Caenorhabditis elegans: one gene and its partner. The main gene of each other region encodes a partner of the protein of the gene in region 2 in a complex. Each region holds a gene or a part of one and is shown on either strand. Other genes may lie near its edges. A codon is read from its position in the direction of its gene.

What was found.
Region 1: the proteins of pop-1 (region 2) and sys-1 are in contact, whole or in part, in a crystal structure (PDB 3C2G), measured with the Caenorhabditis elegans proteins. Residues at the interface, in NP_491053.4 of Caenorhabditis elegans: Gly8 (codon at 2,969), Asp9 (codon at 2,966), Glu10 (codon at 2,963), Val11 (codon at 2,960), Lys12 (codon at 2,957), Val13 (codon at 2,954), Phe14 (codon at 2,951), Arg15 (codon at 2,948); in NP_492639.1 of Caenorhabditis elegans: Leu450 (codon at 2,648), His451 (codon at 2,645), Ser453 (codon at 2,639), Ile456 (codon at 2,630), Leu488 (codon at 2,534), Gln489 (codon at 2,531), Ser491 (codon at 2,525), Asp492 (codon at 2,522), Tyr522 (codon at 2,201), Gly526 (codon at 2,189), Ser529 (codon at 2,180), Asn530 (codon at 2,177), Val532 (codon at 2,171), Ala533 (codon at 2,168), His534 (codon at 2,165), Lys539 (codon at 2,150), Asn579 (codon at 2,030), Arg582 (codon at 2,021), Asn586 (codon at 2,009), Glu638 (codon at 1,802), Arg645 (codon at 1,781).

What each region holds. Positions count from the first base shown.
Region 1 is NC_003279.8:9,979,269-9,986,391, forward strand, and holds sys-1 (Beta-catenin homolog sys-1), read right to left. Parts: upstream 5,527-7,123; 5' UTR 5,519-5,526; coding exon 5,444-5,518; intron 5,157-5,443; coding exon 4,972-5,156; intron 3,941-4,971; coding exon 3,628-3,940; intron 3,590-3,627; coding exon of another isoform or gene 3,579-3,589; coding exon 3,471-3,578; intron 3,416-3,470; coding exon 3,338-3,415; intron 3,293-3,337; coding exon 2,757-3,292; intron 2,701-2,756; coding exon 2,475-2,700; intron 2,244-2,474; coding exon 1,917-2,243; intron 1,866-1,916; coding exon 1,361-1,865; intron 1,309-1,360; coding exon 1,226-1,308; 3' UTR 795-1,225; downstream 1-794. Other genes in the region: eif-3.C (Eukaryotic translation initiation factor 3 subunit C), read right to left, coding at 10-243, 292-392. UniProt on the Caenorhabditis elegans protein: Transcription coregulator. Part of the Wnt signaling asymmetry pathway, probably acting downstream of putative frizzled ligand mom-2, Wnt/frizzled receptors lin-17 and mom-5, and dishevelled homolog dsh-2.
Region 2 is NC_003279.8:2,827,304-2,832,446, forward strand, and holds the start of pop-1 (Protein pop-1), read right to left. Parts: upstream 3,009-5,143; 5' UTR 2,991-3,008; coding exon 2,816-2,990; intron 1,296-2,815; coding exon 1,177-1,295; intron 1-1,176. UniProt on the Caenorhabditis elegans protein: Transcription factor. Part of the Wnt signaling asymmetry pathway. Binds to the consensus sequence, 5'-(C/T)TTTG(A/T)(A/T)(G/C)-3'.

The DNA of each region.
Region 1 (7,123 bases), 7.2 Mb from region 2:
ATATCTCACCTTATGTAAAATCTTGGATTTGCGACATTCTGACGTTGAAAGACCGTCTTGGACTTATCATAAGCTTTGGCCAGAGAATCAAAACCTGTTAGAAGTCTGTTCAGATCTTTGTTGCTCTTTGCATCTCGATTTTGCTTGATAATTCCTTTCAGCTCATCGAATTTTTTGTCCTTTTGGGCACGAACAACACGCTTCTCATCTTCTTCAGGACCGGCCATGAAATCGAGATCATCGCTGAAAGATTAATCAATCTTTTGGAATTACTTTGGAGATTATAATTACCGAAATTTCGCGCTTTTGTTCACTTTTTGATCCTCTACCTCATCCTCGCTGGACGAAGTGTCGGAATCAGAGTCCTCCTTAGCATGGAAGAAGCGAGACATTGCTGAAACAAAATTGACATTATGAAATCCCAAAACAAGAAGCAAACAAGCAGTAGATACACAATTAGACAGAAATTCCAATATTATTTAAAATTTAAAATGAATAAAACGATTTTCCCTTTGAAAACAATTCAAAAAACAGCTAATGGGTCAATATTTAGCTGAAATAAATTTAAGTGGAAGTGGAACATAAGAAAATCGTTGCAAGACCTTACTGGCGCGTTTCGCGTGCACGGGAGATGCGTCAGCACTCGCCACTTGCGCCAGTGGGCATTTGCGCGGAGATTTAAATAATAATTTATTATTTAATCACAATTCCACAATTTCAGGTTAATTTTACAGAACGAGAATAGTCTCTAAATAACTTATATATGAACCGAGTATTCAGTAAATCAATCCAACATTTAAAAAGTTTTATAATTTTATTTTCTATTCAACGTAAGAACATCGAAGAAAGACGTATATAAGACAGGAATTTGATAGTTAAAATGCAAAGATAATCGCGAAAATGTTTTGTATTCAAAAATATTATGCTACAGACGTAAACAAAGAAACAACAAAAAGAAAGAGATAAACCGAGGGCAAAATGAGAAGAAATGTGCTATAAATTAGGAAAATCGGAACGTTTTGTTTGTTCTAAACTCGAATTCATATGAAATCGTCAAGAATGAGGAAATTTGGGACCGGTAGAAAATGAAGAAAAGAAGAGAGAACATATTTTAATCAATAATACGACTATGTACACGCTAAAACAGCTTCCAACTAGACGAATTAATGGCTTTGAACGGGGATTTTTGGGATGAAAGATGGAGTTGACAGATTTATCCATTAAATCAGAAATATTCTCGATTTGAAAAAATACCAGCAAGAAGGTCGTTTTCAGGGAAGCGACTCAGCAGAGAATTCGCGGCTTTAGCTGAAAAAATGCATTGTAATTTAATTTATGAACACATTTTCGAGACACATACCTATATCTGAATTTCTATGATTCGTCAGTCCTTCCAACATCGGCCTGTCAATCGTCCAAATATCCGCACGCGTCGGGCAGTGCTCCAAAATCTTGTCACATACAACAAGCACATTGTGAATAAACGTTGGTTTCACTTGATTTCCGTTCAGCAGATTTAATGGGCAATCAATTGAATACGAGTACTGTGCCACCTCTTTTTCAGCTCCACATTGCTCCATGAGCACAAGCAATAAACTTATGGTACGTTCAACAAGTTGCTGCTTTGTGGATTGAGTTCTTGTATTGTTCGGTTGACGAAAAACCCATGAATAGGCGGCACAAATGTGTCCTATTAAATTTTCCTTCCGATTTTCATCAATAACATTCAGAACACCGTCTTTTGGAACAAATGGTGTTCGGAGTAACAGTATAAAAGATCGGAGAATTGTACTTCGAAGTTCCAATAAACCAGGTGTATCCATTCCTTCACATGATAAACAACTCATCAGTTTTTTCAGAATATCCTGAAATAATTTAATTCATTTTTATATCGTTTTTCAAATTCCAAAACGTACAATTTCGATGAATTTGCAGACCTGCTGCTTTTCATTCGGTCCAGCCGTTTTCGTTTCTCCATTGGGCGTTGGAATCCACATCATCAGGAAATTGTTCAATGTACGCAGACAATTGCAAATAATTTCACAAACTCGATTTCTTTTCGGAGCATCGGTAAGTTCATCTAGTCGTGGATACTTTGAGATTATCGTGTGAAGTAGGAAAATTGCATTGGATCGTATAGCAATATCTTTTACGTGTTGTTTATGAGCCACTACGTTACTCAGAAATCCTGTTCCACTATAGATAACTTCATCATCCGGATGAATTTCGATGAGTCTCAGTAACTGAAAATTTCCGGTTTTAAACAGTTTATTTGAAGGGAGAGAAGTTTTTTTTTAATTTGAATAGACTAAAACTAGCCTGAAACGACCGAATTTAATAATGAAACTTCTTACAAAAGTGAAGTATCACTATGGAATTAGATAGGTTTGGGGCATCTAGTATAATTTTTTAAAGTAAAAGAACACATAAATAATTTTCTAATAGTCCAGTGATTTTCTAAACGTAAAACTTACGAATGGTAATATATTCTCCAATGGAGTCTTCGCCAAGGCTTTTGCATCAGAGACCTGAAGTAAGAGCTTACATCCAGCTCTTATCAAATCATTGTTTGGATACTGTACTACAGTAGTAATTGCTCCAACTCCATCAGACCGTACGAATCCATCAATTGCATCGGAATCATGAAGGAGAAGACCCAGAAGATCAAATGTTCGGATTATAACTTGGATAAGATGAGCTCTGGAAAATTAATATAACTTGTTAGTGATGGAGGAATTTTTCATTTTTAAACTTACAATTCTGGATTTTGAGGTAATGTTTCAGGATTTTGGCCTGCAATCAATCGATACGATCCGATCATTACAGCATTCAATTTTATAATTAATCCTGTTGGCGGAGGAGGTTGATCATGTGGATTATTGTTCCATATGAAGTAATCTTTCAATCGAGTATCCTTGCTAATAATAAATCGAAAAATGATGAAAATTGCTGGATTTATCATTCCCGGGTGTACTTGAGGATTAAAGTACTCGGAGAGAGTGCCAACGAGTTTTTCGAATTTCAAATGTTGAGCGAATTCTGTTCTCAATTTCTCGTTTTTCACTCCCATTATGATACAGTTGAAAATTTGAAACACCTGATTTGCGCAGTGTTTCATGTGAGGATCTTTTTGCCAATTTAACGAAATCAAATTGCAAATCAATTCTCGAAAATCTTGTGGACCATTCTCTCGAGGACAAAACATTTGAACAACTTGATGAATATATGGTGAAATAATGGGTAGAAATGTGAATCTTCGAAGAATATCCAACAGATTATACCAGAGTTGAGCCTGAAAAAATATGATTTGAAATCTGTAATTTGTGTTGAGACTTACATAATATGAAATTGGAAGTTGAACTGGTTGAGGTTTCAGACCATCGTAAATTATGTTAAGGATTTGTTGTACGCAGTTCTGAAAAAAATTACAGATTTTGTAAAAAGAATTCCAACATTTTTGGAAAACTCACCGGCATATTTGCCTGATCAACTTGTGCAAATTTATCTTGTCGTATCCAAGTTCGTATTGTTTTTGCCATATGAAGTCTTTGCATGGGATCTGGTGTATTAAACCATAGCTGAAATTGAACTTTATCAAGATTCATTATTGATTTTTCAATTACAAACCCTAATTGCTTGTTCAGCCGCTTGTGTTATATTCATTTGCATCATTTCAGGATTCACATTTTCACATGTTGAACCATTTGATGAGTAGCATCGCTGAGAATCGGGAAATTGATTTGTCATGGTTGTATTCACACTGAGCATTGACATTCGATCGTCTCCTTGATGATATGACATAACTGATGGAGCAACTGGTGGAGCAGGAGATTGAGAATATGGCCATGCTTGATTGTTGATCCATTGTTCTGTCCGAAATTTTTGATTCTGTGCGGGAGCCGCTGGACCTCGTGAAGGTGACGGTGACGAGTATAGTTGCCTGAAATAAAACATAGAAAGTTTTTAGGTATATCATATTTTATTAAATTAATTATAAAACCAATCTGCAAAATGTTGTTATTTTTTGTTGCAAAAAGGCGTGCGCCTTTAAGGAGTACAGTAATTTTAAACGTTCGTTGACGCAGATTTACCATCGATTTTTCATGGTTTTTTCACGAATGTATATGTTTTTATTGTTTTATTTTAGGTTTTTAGTGAATAATTATATATTTTATTAAAAAAGTGTGAAAAATCTATGAAATTCCGCAGCGAAGGAAGTTCGAAAATACAGTAATCCTCAAAGGTGCAAATTTAAAGAAACAGATGAGAACCTACACTCAAAATAATAAAACTGCGTGGCGTGTACTGCAGAAAACCTAATATTTAGGCCCCGCCTTTTAATCGTCCACTCACGGGGAAAACGCAAAAAGCGGTACCCCAGGCAATATCAGCCGCCGACATCATTCGAGGTCCGCGCACCACACTATTTTTCTCACTGTTGGCGTGGCGAGCTGTCCCCCCCTCCCCTATTTTTGTCTTTTCCCCGTGAGTGGACGATTAAAAGGCGGGGCCTAAATATTAGGTTTTCTGCAGTACACGCCACGCAGTTTTATTATTTTGAGTGTAAGAAGTTTTGAAAGAAATCCTTCAATTACGAAGATTTGGAAACTACAGTACTCCTTAGAGGCGCGCACCTTTTTTTTTAATTGATCGCTTCAAGACCTACTATCGTGATATTTAGGCAAAAAATCTACTTTTTACCAGATAACATTTAAAATTAATCTAAAAATCGAATGTCAATAGCACTCGGAAAAGAAATTTGGCATTGAAATCGAAAAAAAAAACAGTCATTTTTCTTGTACAACCACCACCCATCAAGAAAACGCTCGTTAGCCTCGTTTTTACTCTCCCACTTCCGTCGTCTCCCAACTTTCTAATATCGCCTGTCACACCACGGACGGACGGGGGGCGCAGCCACCAATCAATATGAGGTGTGTCTCTTTAGATAATAATCTTTCTTATAGTACTCACCTCTGCTGTTGTTGTTGAACCTGCTGCTGTTGTTGCGTCGACAATGCTTGAGGAGTCATCTGTTGCTGTTGGGAAGGAGGAGGTTGCATTGAGATATAGTTAGGATGTTGTTGAGGATGATATGGAGGTGTTGGAAGGCCAGGATGGGGAGCTTGATGCCATGAAGGATGAGATGTTGTTGGAATCTGAAAATAAGAATTAAGTCTTCATTTCCGAAAAACTACAAAGAAAACTGAAAAAAAAATCGCAGAAAGGATGAAAAATTCAACTTTTAAAAGCGCGATTTTCAATTTTGGCAGAATTCTCTGTTTGAATTTCCCCCAAAATGGCAAAAGATGAAAATTGCAATTTTAGAAGCTTGTCTTTTCATTCTTTTTCGCTTTTTTTCGTTGTTTTTTTGTGATTTTTCTGAATTTAAGACAATTTTGGATATTTTGAAGCAAAACGCTTCTTTGAAGTTTTTCAAGCTTACCTGATCAACATGATATGGCATCGGATGATGATATGGGCCGGCGGGCCCTCGTTGAGGCTCTCCGGTTGAATGCATTCAGGTCCGGTGCACTCAGTTTTCCAGATGACAGTCTGCCTGAAAAATCGATAATTCAAAATGTGATTTTTATATTTTAAAGGTGATATGATGATTGCGGATTATGAAAAATAGGAAAATAAGAATAAAAAACTAAAAGTAGGCGGGAAAACGGAAGAGAAAACATCAAAAAATGGGCCGTTTTCCTGCAGAATCGTCTCAACATTTGAATTCTTTCGTTACCCACCATTTTCCAACCGTCGCACGGCCTGCACTCTCCTCTTTTTGAGCACTATACACGTGCTCTCTCACTGTCTAACCAGAGAGGGTGTACGCATGCGGATGAATGTAGAAGAGAGAGAGAACGAAGGCAACCGTAGACAGACTGTATGGGACACTTGTCGAGGGTCAGACAAATAAATAGTAGGAAGAATAACGAGACGCAGATTGGTAAGTGATGTTGTGTGTGATTGAATGAGACGCAGAGAATGGTGATGTACGGGGTGAAAAATGGGTGAAGGAGATGAGCTGGTGGTGGCCTACTATCCTACCAACCTAAATAACAACCTACTTTCTATTTTATTATGTAATACATCATGCCTGGAAAGATGTTTAAAGAAATATTCAAAAACGAATTCAAATTCTCGATTGGAATAATTTGATTTAATAGGCATAATGAATAAGGAACATATCAATCAACGAATATGCAATTTTTTTGTTCGAAATAATGAAAAAATTGAAAAATTCCCTGGAAACCCATACAACTTGATGTTTTATTGGTGATCGTTAATGCTTAAGACATGTTTCATTTTCAAAATGAGATTTCTAAAATTTTTGTTGAAATACGAAAACTTCTGTTAGCTAAATATGGAAATGTGCAAGAAGAAACACGGAAAAAAAGAAACTGCGAACACGAAATTACCGTAAACTTAAAGGTGCATACACAAAATGGGTTTCGCGTGGCGAGACCCTTGCGCATTAACGCGCCTCCTCTCTTTAAACTAGTAGATTTTTGCAAGAAACAAACTACTGTATTTAATTTAGAACAAAAAACATGGAATAAAAGGGCACAGTTTCTTAATTAGAGACTAATTGTTTCGCAGCATGACACGTGGATTGCACCTTATCCTCCCACGGTTGTCACCAACTGAAGTCTTCTAGAAGATGGTATCTCCGTGATTGAATAGGTTTAAGTGTAATTATTCAGTAGTTGAGATGGTAATTGGGTGTAAGTTGAATTGTCAACAGAGTTGTATAATAATAATAATAATGTGTAAACAAGATTTCAATCATCAATTCGAAAGAAAACTGAATGTTTTCAACGAAATGGACACCGAATGTCATTGGACAGCTGGCAACGTCGTTCTACGAGTTTTATTAGTTGGCTCTACTAAATATCACTACGATTCAAAAATTTCGAAAAACAGGTGCAAAAATAGATGCAACTGATGACATTGCGAATTTTCGGTATCTCGCCTAAAATTAATTACTATGAGTTAAAAAATAATATAATTTCTCTGAGAAAACCGTACAAAAAAACAAGCAATACACATGAAACCTATACAAATATACTTTGTCAAACAATGTGACATAAGGGACCATAAGGTAGTACTAGAATTACAAGTG
Region 2 (5,143 bases):
CCAACAAAAAAGAAGAAAAAACTGTTTTCGAGGAAATGCAACGAGTTTTTGGATTCAGAAGATAATAGATTCAGTTTTTCGGTGAAAATTTTGTAGAATTTCTCACGAATTTTTGGCTTCCCTCATAAAATGAAATGGAAGAGTTTTTGCCGAACTAGGTCATTTTGGCTCAGTAGATTTACGGCGCGTTGCGTGTCGCGTCGCGGCTCGATTTTAGTTGTAAAACTAAATGCACTTGTCCGTGTGGAGTACACGACTATCCCAGTCCGGCGGGCGATTGTCAATGGAGCGCGAAAAATTCAATGAGGAAGGCCAGAACCCCATGGCGGAAAGCCAAGAATTTTTGGATTTGGAAGACAATAAATTCAGTTTTTTAGTGGAAATTTTGTATTATTTCTGCTTTTTGGGGAAGAAAATTGTAGGAAGAATAAAAAATTAATACGGTTTTTTTTCTACAAAAATGGAGAAAAGCCCTAAAAATTCTTGAAATTGGGTAAAAATTTGAATTTTTTTTTTTTGGAATTTCTGCTTTTTTGGGGAAGAAATTGTTGGAAAAATGATTTTTAATAGGATTTTAAAGCAATTTTTTGCAAATTTCGACGATTTTTGATTCAAATTGAAGAATAAGCTCAAAAATACACAATTTTCCATATTTTTCAATAAAGCTTTCGATTTTAGGGTGTTTTTTCGCTTTTTTTAAATAATTTTTGGTGTAAATTCTTAAATTCCAAAAATATAGAGGCTCTCGAACCCTTTAAAAATTCAAAATACATAATTTTTCCCATTTCTTAGGCAATTTCTGGGCAAAATATTGAAATTGCAACTTTTAAAAGTATTTCTAATGCCTAGACTACATAATTTTTCTAATAAAATAGGGGGAATTGTCATAAAAAGGATTTTAAAGCGATTTTTCGTCGATTTTTGGGGGAAATCTTGAAATTTCAACTTTATAAGGTATTTATAACATATTCGAGGCCTAATATTCACCTTTGTTTTCAGATTTTTCAGTGAAAACTTCCAATTAAAGCCGATTTTTTGCCAATTTCGGTAATTTTTCGTTCAGAAGTATTTAACTTGTTAACTCTAAAATACAATTTTAAGTCGATTTTTGTCGATTTTCGCCAATTTTTATGTGTTTTAATTCAAATTTTTTCAATTTTCCAAGTAAAAAATCACCATAAATAGAGGCATAAACATGGGTAAAGCAGCTGCCGAGTATCCAGGACTGAAGTGTGACATTAAACCGGGAAACGATGGTGACATTGGTTCGACTTTTGGAAATGCACTTTTTAACACTGAAAATTTGATAATTATTCGGTTAGAATGGTTAAAAAAGAGCCAAATTTTTGATTTTCAACCGATTTTTTGGCAAATTTCACAATTTTTAGTCAAAATTCTTTAAAATCCAATTTTATAGGGTTAAAGATTTCATTTTTCCAGATTTTTTCATGAAAACTCCGATTTTAAAGAGATTTTTCGGTAATTTTCACAATTTTTAGTTAAAATTCTTCAAAACTCAATTTTATAGGGTTAATTATCTCATTTTTCCTTCAAAATTTCGATTTTTGAAAGCGATTTTTCGCAAATTTTCACAATTTTCAGTTAAAAATATTTTAAAATTCAACTTTTATAGTGATATCCGAGTTCAAAACCTCTCATTTTTTAGATTTTTCAATTGAAAATTCGATTTTAAAGCGATTTTTCGTAAAATTTTAAAAGGAATTTCTAGCACCTCTAAAGGCCTGAAATACATAATTTTTTAGATTTTTCCATTCACAGATCTCAAAAAAGGTCAATTTTTGGCGCCAAGTTCAAATTTCTCAGATCAATTTTGAATATTATCCAATTCTTAATCCTTTCGCACCCCTATACAGTCTATTGAGCACACACAGACGGACCAACTTGTTCAAGTACTCACGACGGATTAGCACACAAGATAACGGACCGAGATAGTATGGGATTCGGAGAGACGCAGATGGTGTTCGAACACCGTTGCGTAACATCCTTTTACGTCATTATGTCATTGCGTAAGGCCCGGGACCATCAGGTCAATTCTTAGGGGTGTTTTGAAATTAGCATGGATTTTTTTAATAGAAAATAGTGAAAACCGGAAAAAAAATTGGTTAAAAATGAGTAAATTTCATTTATAAAGTGTTAGAAATACTTTAAAATATAAAAAATGGCGAAAAATCGCTTTAAAATTGGTTGAAATTCAAAATAACACTGAAAATACTCAAATTTGTCAAAAAAAAATATTTTAGCGATTTTTAATTAATTTAAATTCCCGCGCTTTTGTCTCGATTTTGAACTCCGCCCATAAAACCGTGCCGCACTTTTGCACTTTTTAATTTCAACGTAAAGTCCAATTTTTGGGTTGTTTTTCTAGCTTTTAATGAATTTTTCGGCGATTTTTAAAACCTTTTTCTCCATTTAAAAACTGAAAAAAAACCCCCAAAATATGGATTTACGCTGAATTTGAAAAAAAAACAAAGTGCGGCACGGTTCTATGGGCGGAGTTTAGACAAAAAATGCGGGAATTTAAATAAGGTTTTTTTTTCAAATTTAATGATTTTTTTCTCTTTTTTTGGGATCAGTCTTAGCATTTAAAGTTTTTATTTAAATTATTTAAATTTAAATTTATATGTATTTTTTTAATATTTAATGTCCCTTTTTCCTGCAGAAATTTAGAAATTTAGAAGAATTTTCAAATATTTTTTTTGTGTAATAAAGTCGAAAGGCAATTGAGGTGGTCCATAAAATTTTGTGTGATAGCTGGCCACCTTCCCCTTTCGATCAAATTTATTGGAAAACTCACCATCAATCGATGGATTTCGACCGGCACCGTCTAATTCTGCTTCCATTACAGCTTCTTTTTTATCATCGGCTAACTGTTGTTCTGACGTTTCACCACTAATCATTGGATCATCGTCAGCATCCTCATCCCGACGGAACACCTTCACCTCATCGCCGAGCTCTTCGTCGGCCATCATTTTTGTGTATTTTTATATCTGGAAATTTAGAGCATTTTTTAACGATTTTAATGGGAAATTGACGGAAAAATGGAGGGAAAAGAAGCACGGAACCATTTAAAACAAGAAAAAAGGGGGACTAGGTCCGCGGAAGTTAGGCCATGGAGAGGGGAAAGACGCGGGAAATTTGAATTCGATAGGATTTTGGGGAGAAAGTGGAGGTTTAGACTTCTAAAATTGGAAAATGTTGAATTTTTATTGAATTAGAGATAAATTTTGACGACAAAATCGAAATTTTAGATGAAAAACTCAAGAAAAATCAGCAAAAACGGTGAAATTTGTTTTAATTTTAATTTAAAAAATACTTTTGTCCACCGTAACTTTTAAAGGCGCATGCCGCTTATTTTGGTGTGGGTCTCGACACGAATTTCGAACAAAATTACTTTTCTTTGCTTAAAAATGTCGAATTTGAGCTGTTTCGTTGAAAAAATAATTTGAAACGAGGAAATTTCGATGTGAAATATCTAGAAATTGATCGAAAACTTCGAAATTTGTTCAAAATTAAATTTTCAAGTATTTTTGTCTACCGTAACCTTTAAAGGCGCGTGCCATGTATTTCAATGTGGGTACCACCGCGAATAACAATATTTTTCGGCTTATTAATTTGTAATTTGAGTTTTTAAAAATAAAATCATAAATTTTAAACAAGGGAATTCCGAACAAAAAGGAGAAAATCATCAAAAATCTTTAAATTTGTTTAAAATTCGCATTTTTCGACATTTTTGTAAATATACCGTAGTCTTTAAAGGCGCATGCCATGTTTTTTGGCATGGGTGACACCACGATCAGACTTTAAATACCTTAAAATTACCTATTTTTGACGTAGAAAATTACTTTTTTGCTTATAAATCCGAAACGCGGGAATTTTAAATTAAAGAGCAGGAATCGATACGGTGAACAAAACACATCTGTCATTGGCAACAGATGGCCTAGCCGAAAACTAGGCCGCTACTCGCTCTACAAAATTCAAAAAGAATGACGGGAAAAAAAAGCGAAAAATGTTCGAATGAAGAAGTTCCTCCAATTATAAAATGCAAATAAACGTAGAACCCAGCAGGAGGTAGGAGGGAGGATAGTGGAACGAGGAAAACGAGGCGAAAAGGATCCATAAAATTCAAATAAATGACGGACCGGGGGACGTGAGAAGAAGGGGGGAAGAAGACAAGAGGCGGTTGGTGGTGGTGTATGCGCGCGCTGTCGGTAGTGCACCATGGCCCCCCGCTACACCAATTTCTCTGCGTCTCTCGCTTTCATCGCTCATCAAGGGGCCGCCCATGCTAAATGGTGTGTGAGAAGGCCCTGTGTGTGTGCGCAGGTGGCCGACAATAATAGCTGTAGAAGAGGTTAAAAGAGAGCATGGAACTTGAAGAGAGTGGAGGTTGAGTGAGAAAAAATAAAAATCAGATTGTCCTGAAAAAAACCATTTAAAAATTGATAAGAAGTGATTTTTGTGGGCATCGGTAATCGGTAACCCGGGGCGTCAATATATATTTTTTATCGAAGTGTTCATTTTCTTCGTTGTAACTCACCGGGAAAACCGTGAGAATTGGCGGAGAGATAGAGACACAGCGTGTTTTCATCTTTTTTTCTTTTTTCTAATTCTCCTTTCACTGTGAATGTGACCCCAGTCAGATAAAAGAGAAAACGGAAGGAGACAAATGGCAAAGACTATCCTAAATTAGAGGGAACACACCCTTTTTGGTAGCGAAATTGGTTGAAAATCAATAAAAATTAATAATTAATTCGAATTTTCCGAGAGGAGTACACGTTGCTTGAAGGGTACGGTATTTTTTTAAAATTTTTTAATAAATTTCTGAATAAAATCGATTTTTTTTTCGATTTCGAATAGTTCTTTGTGAAATTGAGTGAAAAATTGAAGAAAATCAAAATAAACTGCTGGGAAATCTCGAATTTTTCTAGATTTCCGTTTTTTCTGCGGAATTTTCCCAGAAATTAGAGAAAATTACCTGGACAAGTGTAAAAACGAGGATGTTGGGAAAACGGAGACTAAAATTGGAGAAAATGCAACGAAAAAGCTTGAAAAAAATAAATTTGGCTGTATTTCGGGAACACTGCGAAGCAAATTCAATTTTTTTATTACGGGATCACGAAAG